3 linked regions of the Nothobranchius furzeri genome follow. The protein of the gene in region 2 purifies or fractionates together with the protein of the main gene of each other region. This does not show direct contact. Links are inferred from orthologs where the notes say so. Each region holds a gene or a part of one and is shown on either strand. Other genes may lie near its edges.

Region 1 (3,611 bases), on a different chromosome or scaffold from region 2:
CACCACAGCGATGCTGAAAGACAGCATCCCCACAAACACCGCCACCTGTGGACAAAAGTGTCAGCTGATCAGAAACACTGATTTGGTTTATTCACATGGCTGCTAAAGCAGGACTGGTTCACTCACGACGACGGGTCGAACCCACTCCTTCAGGATGAACGGAGCGTAGACTTTCTTGAAAAACCGGAAGAGGAAGCCATCCGTCTTGACTTCGTAACGTTCAGGCAGCTTCACACACCAGCAGACGTCTAGCCGGTTCTCCTTTAAAACACAACCCACCGCACAATGTTCAACAAGTATAAACATTGTCCTCACGCTACAACGACAACCAGCTGTGATCAGGTAGATAAATAAATAAATGAATAAAATCCAAGAGGGCCAAGCAGGTTTCTAGTGTCCACGTTAAAAGCTCTCATTCACCCATTTTTATTAACAAACCTGATGTGGGCTCAAGTATGAATGAATGAATGAATGAATGAATGCTTTGTGAGTCGTTTTGACTTTGGTGCTCCAGTTTCAGGAAGTAGAAGTTATTTGGAGTAAGTTTGGATGGAAAACGGCAGGATTTTGATTCAAAATATGCAAACATCTCACCTCTGATTGGCTAAAAGCAAGTAGCTCTTCCGTTGAAGTTGTTTGATTTTCTTTTATGCGTAACTCTTTCAAAATGTTGTGGAATTGCTAATGCTAATGGTTAGCTTCTACTAACCCAAACACACTCTGCTCTCATTTCCACGATCACAAGCCACAGTGGGCGACGCCATGAATGAAAAATTTCTCTTGAGCTGTGTGGCTTTTCTAACTCAGTGGTTCTGCTTTATAAATCACACCTGTCTTAGAAATGTGCTCACGTGCAACCATGACAACCAAGAAAGATTTCCACGGTCTGGGGTGTCGCTTATACATGGAAAAAGTGTTTTATTCCCTCTAATTTCCCTCTGGGGTTAAAAAAGTATCTTTGATTTGATTTAGCGACACCGCGCTGCTACAGCGGAACTTTGGAGCCACGGAGCGATCAGCGGATGCCAATAAATAAAAATATTTAAAGAAGTGGTCAGATGGAGCTTAAGATGGCAACAATCATTGACATCATCAATAAAAGCAGCACTATGGTGCATAGGGAGGGGTCACTGTCTTTTCCAGATCCAAGTGGAACATTTAAGGAAAACATTTAATTTAGCCCAAAGGGCTCTAGGCAGGAAATATTGAACAAATATCAGCTGATACCTGCTGGAACGAACTGGTGTTGTCAGAACTCCTGTTTATGGAAACTCCGACAGCTGCACCTCTGCCCGGTTCACTACAGTGACGTTTTAAATTATAGTGTGAATCACAGGTGTGCGGTCACGTACGACACAATTAATGCACCAATAAGTTATTTAACGACACATGAAAGTAATGTATTTTAATCACTGATATAATTTTTATTCTCAATTCAGAGATGGAGGGGGTCTTCTTTTTGGTTTTGTGTGTGCGTGCGAAAGGCCTGACCACTTCTGTTCACTGGACGTGAAGGTGGCATCTAACGTAATAGAGGCGTTTTACCCATGAGCTCATTCCCAACTGGGAGCGTTTCAGATGTGAAACGAGAGCGAAAGCGTTCCACAAAGCTGGCGTCACAAAATCACATGAGAATTGCAACACCACGCGTGATTTCAGAAGTTCACCCACAATAAAAAGCAAGGAGAAAGACAGCTGCATGCATCAAAAAGGTCTGGTTTATTTTCTGCTCTGTTTACATCGGCTACGGGGGTTTAAACAGAAAATGACGTAAGTTTACCTGCATGTGACTTTTATTTTGAAAGTTTCTGGATGTTTTGCACAGCTTTTGTGTTTGACATCCAGTCTGGTGTAACCTACACTGTGGAGTTTGACGTGTTTTGTAAATAGACTCGAAACATAATGATGTGTCCCTTCGCTTCTGGGGCGCGTCCAAAACGTCATCATTTGGTGTCGGTGGAAAGGAACGCATTCACTAGAACGGCGGCTAATTTCTGCGTAGTACATTCCGTGTATGATTTGCGATGCTTTAAAGGTTGAATATGGAGCATGGACACTATAGCGACATCTAGTGTTAGGAGGTAGTAGTGCAACAACAGAACACATTTACCAGCTGTTAGGGTATTGGTTCACTGCTGACACGTGACCAGCCAGGACCATGTCCAGTGATGAATCGTACAGGGTAAAGACTTATTTCTACTAATATGTTAACTTTGTAACACTATTTACCGTTAGAACATCTTCTGGGCTCAGAATCAGCTGTTTGGCCCGCCATTATACACAGTCCCAGCCTGCCTTGCCAAGCCAACTTTTTACTGCAACGCTGCCCCCTGTTGACTGGTAGATGTAAGCATAAACCTAGTGTTGTGCCCCTCAAAATAACATTTTTATTATTATTTTTTTAAATATACCTTTTAAAGCAGAAACTGGACATTCTACACACCTCTAAATGCCACGTCGTGGTATTTTTTTAAATATAGCATTTTATCAAAATATTCCATATTCCAACTTTAACTTGGAAGTGGAAAGAAGGGGTGAAAAAAAAAAACATTTTACCATCTCACTATCTCCCAAATGTGCTCCTGCCGGGTCAAAAGTTTGCTTAAAGTTAAGCACATCTTTCCATCAAGTTTTTTTTTCAAAGAACAGAAAGTTTGCATGGAAAATCACGCAGTTTTCAGACCCCATTTTGTTCATAAGCAAGCTTTATAATCAGGCCCCAGGTGAAGATACAGCAGAGCAGGATTATTGTGTTGAGTTCAGATGTGGAAAAAACAGTGTTTGGTGTCACCTTGATGAGGAGGACTGCAGCAGAGCATCGTAATACGGAGCAGCAGGGGTGACAAGGTGTTGGAAGTTTATAATCATCACCACGACTGCCTGTGGATGTCATCAGAGCTGACCGTCTGAGAATATTTTAAATAGATATTGTTGCCTGTTCTTATTGTAGAAATTATTTGATAGGGAAAAGATTTTTTTCTTGTGTAGTGCATGTTATTTATACTCCTAAATTAACACAAAGTTATTAAGAGGTGATAACAGTTCGATCTTATGCTGAATAATCCCACTGAGTGTCCCTGCCTCCATCTCACCTCCTGTCTTTTGGCATCCATGCCGAGCAAACTGACAAAGCAGCTGATCTGCAACAGGAAATCAATAAAAACGGCCAAGCCAGCAAACAGGGAGAATGTCCTCACTGCAGGCATGTTGGACAAGGCACCTGGAAGATAAAAATAAAGAAGTACATCAGCTTCTGGCTCAGCAGAAAACAGCAGGTCGTTCATCTGCCAGATGTGTGAATTCTCCCTGTAAATAATTATAAATAAAGCTTTAAACCAAAATTCTGACTGTTGCATGAATGCACAACATTCTGCTGCTGATTGCTCTGCAACGTGTTGTTATAAACAGCATGTTTTTAATTATATCAGTGCACACCTGCTGTGACAGGGAAGAGGAAGTGATCCAACCTGCGTGTGAGTTTATTTAAAGAGGAAAACATCAGAAATGACCAATGATACTGAAAAAATTTCACCACTTGTATTTTCTTCTCTTTGTTTAAATGGACTCACTTACCTGAATATTATTGTTATCAAAGGTTCAAGCTGTGTGCT
Region 2 (4,329 bases):
TATTCTCAGAATAATCTCACACTGACCACAGAAGCTGTAAGGCCTAGGGTATTTATTTTAAGCCAGATTCTAATATCAGGTGTATTATTTTTTTAAATACATTGAAGACCTTGGTGACTATGGAGGCAGTCTAAGCCCTCAGAATACTTACTGAGCAAAGTAAAGTGCACAGTCTCATTGCTAACCTCTGGGGTTTTGAACCTGAATGAAAAGTTGGACGTCTGTGATTTGTATAAATTAGATAAACCTGTTTGAATTCTCACCGCTCCTGTTGAGACAAGAACTGTGTTCCTCCTTTACAGAGGACAGATTTTTAATGAGGACAACATTAGCTGCTAATATGATTGTCTGAACTACAGGTGGAGTGTCTCCTCGTTCCAGATTTTAGTCGAGGAGGAGCTTTTGAGTCCATGTGCGAGCCTCTGGTCCTCCACCAGCCTTCAGAAAACTCCAGCCTCTGTGAGGAGCGTAGCGGCCTCGAGCAGCAGAGCCTTTGTGTAAATATGTATGGTGTGGAACATGGTGACAAAGTCCTGGGTGCTGAACAGAGTGTCTGCAAGAGCAAAGCCAAGAGTCGAGGGAATGAAACCTCTTCCGTACTCCACCATCCAAGTCCCAGCGCTCCACTGGACTGATGTAGCTTCTCCCACTTCATGAACAATGAAGTCACCTGTGGAAGTAAGAGGGAGACAAAAACACACTGATTAAAAAACAAATAATTAATATAAAAATGGACAACTACATGTTAAAACGAGTTACTTTACTACCTGGATAGTAGATTTCACTCTTAGTAGTCCCCTCCTTCCACTGCCGGAATGTGCCGGAGATGATAGTGTCAGATATTTCAGCCCAATATCGACCTGGAAGAACCAGGGGGAGAGGACACGAGTCAATTTTACTAAATTTAGTAAAAGAAATTTATTTCTAGACCCTCAGTTGTATCAAAGGGCTTGTTTCCATCATATAAAAATCTGAATGAATAAAAAGTTTGAGTGCCGGCTTTAAAATTAGTGAGTTCATTCACAAATATATGATCCTCCTGTACCTGAGTGTCCTCCTGTGTCCACAGCAGTACCAAACAGTAGTAAATACTCAGTGAGCGAGGCATGGAGGAGACACATGGAGCCCATCCATCCTCCAGCATTCACAAACACCCACTGCAAGTCTTCATCAGGCAGAATGTGGCCTGGATACCTGGTTTAGATACGACTTATTAGTCATCAATGCATCCTTGTTTCTATATGAAAAAAAAAAAACTTATCATAGAGATCAGTGGAGTGCACCAACGGGCATTCAAATAAATGCAATCAAGCATCTGAGGGCTCCTAAGCGTGTGGGGACTTGTCTGTGGTGGCAGTCTGGAGAAAAAACAAAAACTTAGGAAGACTGCAGCAATTCTGACTTACCTGAAAATTATAGCTGAACTAACAGCACAAGTATGCATGAATGGAGGTTTGGTTAGAAGACTGTAGTCTTAATGAGCTGCGTTCACTAGAACATTTCTGAACATTTTTATTTTCCCCCACAACAAAAACTGAAACCAGTGTGAGAGCTGTTTTATTGAAGATTTGGATGCCTTATGATGCTGTTATGTTCAGGACTAATAACCCGAGAGAAGCATCTAGATTATAATCCTTCAGCTTTCTTCACCAGTCTTTTATTTTTTCTCTGCAGCAGAATCTGATCTGGAGCCACACGTTTAATCTTGGACATGGCTCTAGTTTAAACGAGGCACCAGGAACTTAATCTCTACGCAAGAGTCTGATCTGATTCCTGACTTTTAGAATTGCACCTATTACAGATGGAAGAAAAAAACCCTAAACAAATACATATACTTTGTTATAGTTTTATTACTATTATTATGATTAAATAGCCGATAGAATACCATAATCCAAATGCATGCCATCTTTCTGAATGTATTTTAAATCTAATTTATCTTATTACTGGTAAATGAATAAGGATTCATTTCGGAACATTGCATTTAGTTCAGAACGTGTTCTGGATGAACTATGAACACAAACATCTGTGAACTGCTGACCTGGCTTCTTCAAAGTGTGAACTTGCACAATACAGTAGTGTTCAACGTGAACGAACTGATTGTACGGCCTTTCGACACATTAAAAGTATAGGTGAAAATGAAACGATTTAACTTATAATCAACGCATGCACAGTCGTAAGTTTAGCAGTGGAGAGCCCAATATGATGAACTAGTTAGAAAATGGCTAAAATTAGTCTATTATTCTTATTCTGACTAAAACAACAAGTATTTTTTCCGGATCACCTTGGTTTGTGTCTGAAAACATGCTGAAGCAAAATCACCTCTTTCTGAGCTCCAATACCACTTTGGAGAACGCCTGCTCATGGTCTTGCCCTGGGAATAAACACAATTGAATGAAGACACTGACGAAAGTGAGCTGAAAACAATTTTAGGAAAAGTAAATTGATCATTAGACTACTAGAGCACGAGTGGTCTACAAAAACGTCAAACTTCCAAACTCACCCGCGTATTGCTTCGCCAACTTGGCGATGTCTTCTTTGTTGAAAACATACGTCTTGGTGGCCATCCAGTACCGTAGCAACAGCACGACCAGGACGGCGACTGTAGCGACTGCAAATAGTCTTAAAATCGCTCTGACAAACGACATGGCTACAGACAAACGAACACCTAGCAGCAAGTTTAGCTACATGAATTAAACGAGGCAGAACAGAAGCAGGTTGCTAAACTAGGAGATGTTTCTGGTCACGTGGTCATGAGGACCGCCGATCAGCCAATCACGGACTTTGTTTGTTGAATATATTAGCGGCTGTCGGGTTGCCAGTACACACTAAAATCTGGAAAATAATTCAATTAAAGTTTATATTTGACGTTATTCTTATTAAGTATATTTAATAAATATTATGTAAAATGCATTAAAACATAGTAAGTAATATACATTAAAACTTAGTAATTTATATCTGTTTTTAAAAGCTTATTCTAAAATCCTGATTAGACACGAATGGCATGTTTTGTCTTTCGTCCGACAACAGGAAGTGGGCTAAGGGTATCAGTTGAGCTAAAGTTCGGAACCATCGACATTCGGAACCAGCTGATGCTTACTTGATTTAACTTACAGGTTTTAAATAGTACCGTATCATGAGTGGCTACCAGAGTGTTAGTTTCGACCCCAGCGGTACGTGTGTCTCCTTTTCTTTTTGTAGCAGTTCACTTTATTCTTTCTGAAAGAAATTAGGTTTAAAAACAGGTTTACAGTTGTTGCATTTCCAAACGTACTCTTGTTATTTATGCAAGTTTGTGAAATTTAGGTTGAATTATTCATAGCTGAAACCTGCCGTTTATTTTCCTGTAAATATCCAGCTGTGAATCATGTGATCTGAATTCCTGCTGAGTTTACAGCTGCACTTGTAGCCACGCTAGTACTTCAGCGTCATTTTGATGCTTTCTTTGTAGTTTATTTCTTATTGGCTTAGTAATGTTGAGAGATGACAATAATTGAAGTGAGGTACGATAAGTCAGAATACCAAAGACGGTAAGGGTTTGCTGACTATTCAGTAAACTTTGGCAGTACCAAGCTTGCTTTAGCTTCCCTGCTCCAGCACACCCTAAGTGGTTGATGCTACTGTTGTTTGTCATCAAATTGTGCAAAGGCCTGCTAATTATCCATCCATTGAAATCAGATGTTATGAAGCCATGAAACTCCTAAAATATGCAGGATGGTGGTCCTTGTGGTCCTTGTAGGACCAAGATTGGACAATGACAATGTCCAATGACAATGTAGTGGGGCTGTGTGCATGATGATCAAAAGTTGATACCAACTTTCTGCTTTTTGCACCAAATAATAAAAAAACTGTTTAACAAAAAGAGATGTTTTGTAATTTTTACTCAAATATTACACTCTTCTGCCCTTTTTAGAGGCTCCTTGGCTTCATAACATCTGATTTGAATGGGTCACCTGTCTTGTGAAAAGTAGGAATCCTAAAGCGTCTGATATGAAACATTAGTGTTGTTAAAACGAAGCTCACTGATAATTGAAGAATACTTTATGATGGGATTTTACACAAGGAAAAAAAGACAAAGAAATAAAAAGCCCTAGCAATGTTTTTAACATCTTTTTTGGTGATACTCCATGTCCTGTAAACACCAGAGCACCAGCATCTGCGTTACAACCCACTGCGAGACAGCTGGGTCCTGGTCTCGGCCCACCGGATGAAGAGACCCTGGGCTGGTCAGATGGAAAAACCTCCGCAAGAGCAGATCCCTAGACACGATCCCCACAACCCTCTCTGTCCTGGGAATCCAAGAGCAAATGGAGAAGTAAGACAAAAAAAAGC
Region 3 (4,328 bases), about 8.4 Mb from region 2:
TTTCTCCAGGAAACAAACATCTTAATCATTAGAATCATTAAGTTGCATTAAAGTTTTGTGCAAAAAATTATTTTTGCTTCACAATAAATAGCTGAAGATTCACAAGTCAGTGTCTGGTTGCTCTTGTGCAGATTACAAAGTAGTTATTCAACCAGTGAGTCAAAATATATATTTTTTTCATTAATTCATTTCTGAGATTTTTGCAGCAAGAAGTGAAGAGAATACACAACTTCCCGATCTTCACATGCATTTTTTCCTTCGGAGCAGCAAAAAGTCTGCAGCTTTAACCTTTAGCCTGTTCATTTATCATACCTGCTGTTTAAATGTCCAAACTTTGCCAAAGATTAAGAGACGGAAACCTCACAAAGCCGCACTTCTGTCATTTCCCCCCATGCATTTATGCAATCAGCAGCCAAAACATAATGACCAGAGCAGCAAACAGAAAGAGTCGAGACAGGAACTGTTCATCTGTGTGCTGCGGCGTCCCAGGAGCTGCTGTGTGGGTGAAAGTTCAACAGAAGTTACTGGGTAAATTGTTTTCATAAGAAATGAAAGAACACAGAGGAAATGTGTAACCACCTGGAGGAGGTCGTCCATCATTGATGTTAAAAGCCGTGGCAAAAATACCGAACGGGAAGGCACCGATTCCAAAGGACATCTGGAAACCTCCATCTCCGAAGCCAAATCCCTGAAATCCCTGCAGGGATTTTTAGAAAAAAATGAAAACGTGTCATATAACAAAGTAAGAAAAAAAAAGTGTGACACAATGAGCAGTAAAAGTTGTAGTGATTCTCATGAGGGGCTTTATCTCAGCTGTTCACTAGTAATGGGTCCCAGAGGGAAATGGCTTTTCAGTCATGAATAAAACAGGTCTAAACGGCAGCACCTACATCATTTTTGACTCACGGTTTCATCATGAGCTCATTATAATACTCTAGAGCTTACACGAAACTTAATGTAGTTATTCACAATGATGGTTTAACTGTGCAGATGTATTTGTTTGTGTACTTACACCACGGTTTTCCGGCTCTGGTCTCTGTCCTTGTGGTCGAGGGGGCGTCCTTTCCCTTTGAAGCATCAAATCAGATATACACCGTAAAACACTAACATAATGATAATTCTTGCACCACAAGTGTGTTAATGTAGAAGTGTGATGACACAATAAATCATGTCAACACTTTTTAGCATCTACCTAGGATCCTGTTGACCCGTGCTTCCCCTCCCATACAAGGGGATTACTTTGTCCCGGCTGATGCCAGCTTTACACACCGGACACACTTGTCTGTTGGGTCGAGTCTCCAACCACTGCATGAAGATAAACGGATGTTAACGAGTCAACGGGTTAGCTAGGGGAACATCTTTGTAAATGAAAAAAAATCTAAGTCAGGCTTACCTGATGCAAACATGGCCAGCTGAACATCAGGAGCAAATGAAGTTCATGGAAGTGAAAAAAAAAAAAAAAACAGGATTAGTAAAAAAAAAAAAACCACATTGGAAAATATTCATGAAAACAAACATTAGATAAACTGCTTGTCAAAAAAACCCCAATTAAGGACAATAAAAATAAACACTAATTCTACTTGAATATTTCATACTAATTCAAACATACTGGATAACATTTAAGAGAAAATTAACAAATAATTACTTTGTATGAACACTGATCAGACCACTTTGGCTGCTAATTCATCAGCAAATTTTTGGACATAAAAATGACTAAAATGTTGTTTTGAAAGAGATTCAAGGATTTCACAAAAACATCAGCTAAAAGAAAACAGATAAGTTACCTAATCAGCTAGTAAATTGGCAACTGCCACTTTATTTGACAAAATAAGAGGATTAATTAGATGTTCCAGAACTTTAAAAAAATGTAAACTTTTTCTGATTAGTCATATAAAATGAAAAACACTAAAAACAATAGTGAAACTGTATTCTCGTGCAATCTTCAAACATTTTTGCTGAAGCAAACTGTGAAATAAGTATTTTTATTATTGATGTTAGGAATATAAATGGCTCATAGGCGCCTCGTGATTTTTATCTTGAGAGGCGCTATAGAAATGATACTTTCTTCTTAGACAGACCTGGTAGAACTTAAAACTGTTTTTTCCGCACAGTTTAATTGAAGTGGTAAAACCGGAGACAACATTTTGGTTCATGCTGTACTGCTGAGTTTAGTTCACTTGTGTCCAGCCGCTAAAACTGAGGTGGTTTCTGATTTCACAATGTAAACATAAGTAACATATTTAAATCTTACCAGAAAAGGTGGCCACACAAGCTGATCACGGCATCCTTCGCTGTGTCCAGGCATATGTTGCATTCAAAGGTGCTGTCCTGGCTGCCTCCGTCGGCCGCTGCCGAGCTACTGGATCCCGGGCCGGAGTTTTCAGGAGCCGAGACGGTGGAGCCAGAGACTGGTGGAGAGGGGGCAGCGGCGGCCATTTATTTGCTAAAAGTCGGTCCAATATTCAAGCTAATACGGTTGGGATGGCTCTGTTCGTTCCTGTCAAACACATAAGAAAGTGACAGGAACTGACAGAAGTGGTCTCCCACTAAGAAACCTGAATAAAAGAAAGGAAAAGCTAACTTTGTGTCATCTGATAGCTATGCTACCGTTAGCAGCTAGCAAGCTAGGAGAAAGGCTAAACGAACTGAGGCGTAAACCGAACCACATATACAATTATTACAGTGGCTAAAGGAATATTTCAACATACATTTTGTAACATAGCCTCATTAAAACTTAATTATGACTTGTTGCGAAAATAGCCTTACAGCTGGTTGCAACACTTCCGCAGGGTGTTAGCCCTAAAAAAGAGTAGGACTAAAAAAAAACGTGGCTGTTTCTTTAAAAGGCGTGGCTATTTCTAAAGGGGGTGGGGTTACCTTGTGTCCGGATTAGTGACGTAAAGAAAAGTAGATACACAAAAACAAAAAACTTACTAATAGTTACTCTTGTGATGGAGAATGTTGCACAAACAATGTCTTCTCATAATTATGGAATTTATTGTTTCTGACATAGGTTTGTGAAGAAGTTGGTTGTAGACTGATGTTTAATTCCTTCTATAAGAGTGATTTTTTGCTTATGCGCCAAGATAATGTTTGTCTGAGGGGTATCCATAGACTGTACATACGGGGGTATCCCAGAAACATGTAGCTAGTACTGTTGCACGATATTAGGAAAACCTGCAATGCGCGATAACAGCGATTAATATCTCCATGATGATATGACTAGAAATAAACAAAAATAAATAAATAAAAATAAAAAATACAACGAAATAGAAAAATATAGAAAATGGGCAAAGCAAAAATTGTGATCAAAAGATGTGAGGAAAAAGGAAAAGACAACTAATAAGACAAGGCAATCAGTAGATCCTGGGAAAAGCTAAATCAGCAGAAAGAGCAAAACAAAGCTAACTTGTATGTTAGCCATCAAAGTCAAGTGTCGTCCGCCTAGGGGGCAGGCATCTAACCTATAGAATCCACCCGATATGCCAAATAGGTAAGGCTCTATTTGATCTGTCAAAAACATATGCTTCTGTTTGATTGACAAAATGCATTATGTGTAGCAAGCATTTGAGCTGACCATTTATTGTGATGTTTTCTGTTCATTGTGATACGTGTTTTGCACATGCCGATATCGCAATCTATTCTATCATGCAGCCCTAGTTGCTAGATGGTATATTGTTAATTCAGTCATAAAATTTAAATAAAACAAATAAGGGTTTTACCTTCTTTGCTCCTTTTGTCGTATCAAGAATGAAACTTTAAATCAGCTTTTTTGAGAATTTCTTTTGGATATTCTGGAATGATTTAACCCATTTTGAGCAGAAACTGATGTGCACCTTAAACTCAGAATTTTGCATATTCTATTTAACTTAGTTTTTAATTTTTAAAATTCATGTTTATTGACTATTTTAAATATGTCAGTATTGTTTCTAAGCAAAAACCAAGTTATTTTCATGAAAGATGTTACACAAATCCCAAAGCTGAGAAAAATAAATCCTCACGTATAGGCACAACCCATATTTGGTATTTTTTAATTTTTTTCTATGAGTTAAATTTCATCATTGTAAATGTTTATTGTAGGTAAGGCTTATTTTTAAAAAATCACAAATTTTATTTCGACACTATGTCTAAAAAGTAATTTTTGCTGATCCATCGCACCCATAAAGCAACAGCAATCACAGTTGGTTGTTTCTTTTCTATTTCTATGAAAACAGATACACAAATCAAAGGCACAATCTATTTTTGTTAGTAAATTATTAATTTACGATTTATAACATTAATTATAAATAAATCATCATAAATGCTGCCACATTCTTTTTTTTACCCTC

What was found.
Region 1: the proteins of sigmar1 (region 2) and npc1 purify together in Homo sapiens (affinity purification with mass spectrometry; 3 studies listed by BioGRID and IntAct, with this or other methods). This does not show direct contact. The link is inferred for Nothobranchius furzeri from reciprocal best matches to the Homo sapiens genes SIGMAR1 and NPC1.
Region 3: the proteins of sigmar1 (region 2) and rnf185 purify together in Homo sapiens (affinity purification with mass spectrometry; 3 studies listed by BioGRID and IntAct, with this or other methods). This does not show direct contact. The link is inferred for Nothobranchius furzeri from reciprocal best matches to the Homo sapiens genes SIGMAR1 and RNF185.

What each region holds. Positions count from the first base shown.
Region 1 is NC_091751.1:48,786,633-48,790,243, reverse strand, and holds part of npc1 (NPC intracellular cholesterol transporter 1), read right to left. Parts: intron 3,221-3,611; coding exon 3,093-3,220; intron 262-3,092; coding exon 127-261; intron 46-126; coding exon 1-45. UniProt on the Homo sapiens protein: Intracellular cholesterol transporter which acts in concert with NPC2 and plays an important role in the egress of cholesterol from the endosomal/lysosomal compartment.
Region 2 is NC_091746.1:43,713,368-43,717,696, forward strand, and holds the start of sigmar1 (sigma non-opioid intracellular receptor 1), read right to left. Parts: upstream 2,814-4,329; 5' UTR 2,646-2,813; coding exon 2,501-2,645; intron 2,372-2,500; coding exon 2,320-2,371; intron 1,195-2,319; coding exon 1,046-1,194; intron 861-1,045; coding exon 768-860; intron 671-767; coding exon 441-670; 3' UTR 1-440. Other genes in the region: galt (galactose-1-phosphate uridylyltransferase), read left to right, coding at 3,134-3,170, 4,143-4,312. UniProt on the Homo sapiens protein: Functions in lipid transport from the endoplasmic reticulum and is involved in a wide array of cellular functions probably through regulation of the biogenesis of lipid microdomains at the plasma membrane.
Region 3 is NC_091746.1:52,069,753-52,074,080, forward strand, and holds the start of rnf185 (E3 ubiquitin-protein ligase RNF185), read right to left. Parts: upstream 2,861-4,328; 5' UTR 2,767-2,860; exon of another isoform or gene 2,498-2,766; 5' UTR 2,437-2,497; coding exon 2,252-2,436; intron 1,413-2,251; coding exon 1,394-1,412; intron 1,306-1,393; coding exon 1,193-1,305; intron 1,068-1,192; coding exon 1,013-1,067; intron 698-1,012; coding exon 580-697; intron 496-579; coding exon 398-495; 3' UTR 1-397. UniProt on the Homo sapiens protein: E3 ubiquitin-protein ligase that regulates selective mitochondrial autophagy by mediating 'Lys-63'-linked polyubiquitination of BNIP1.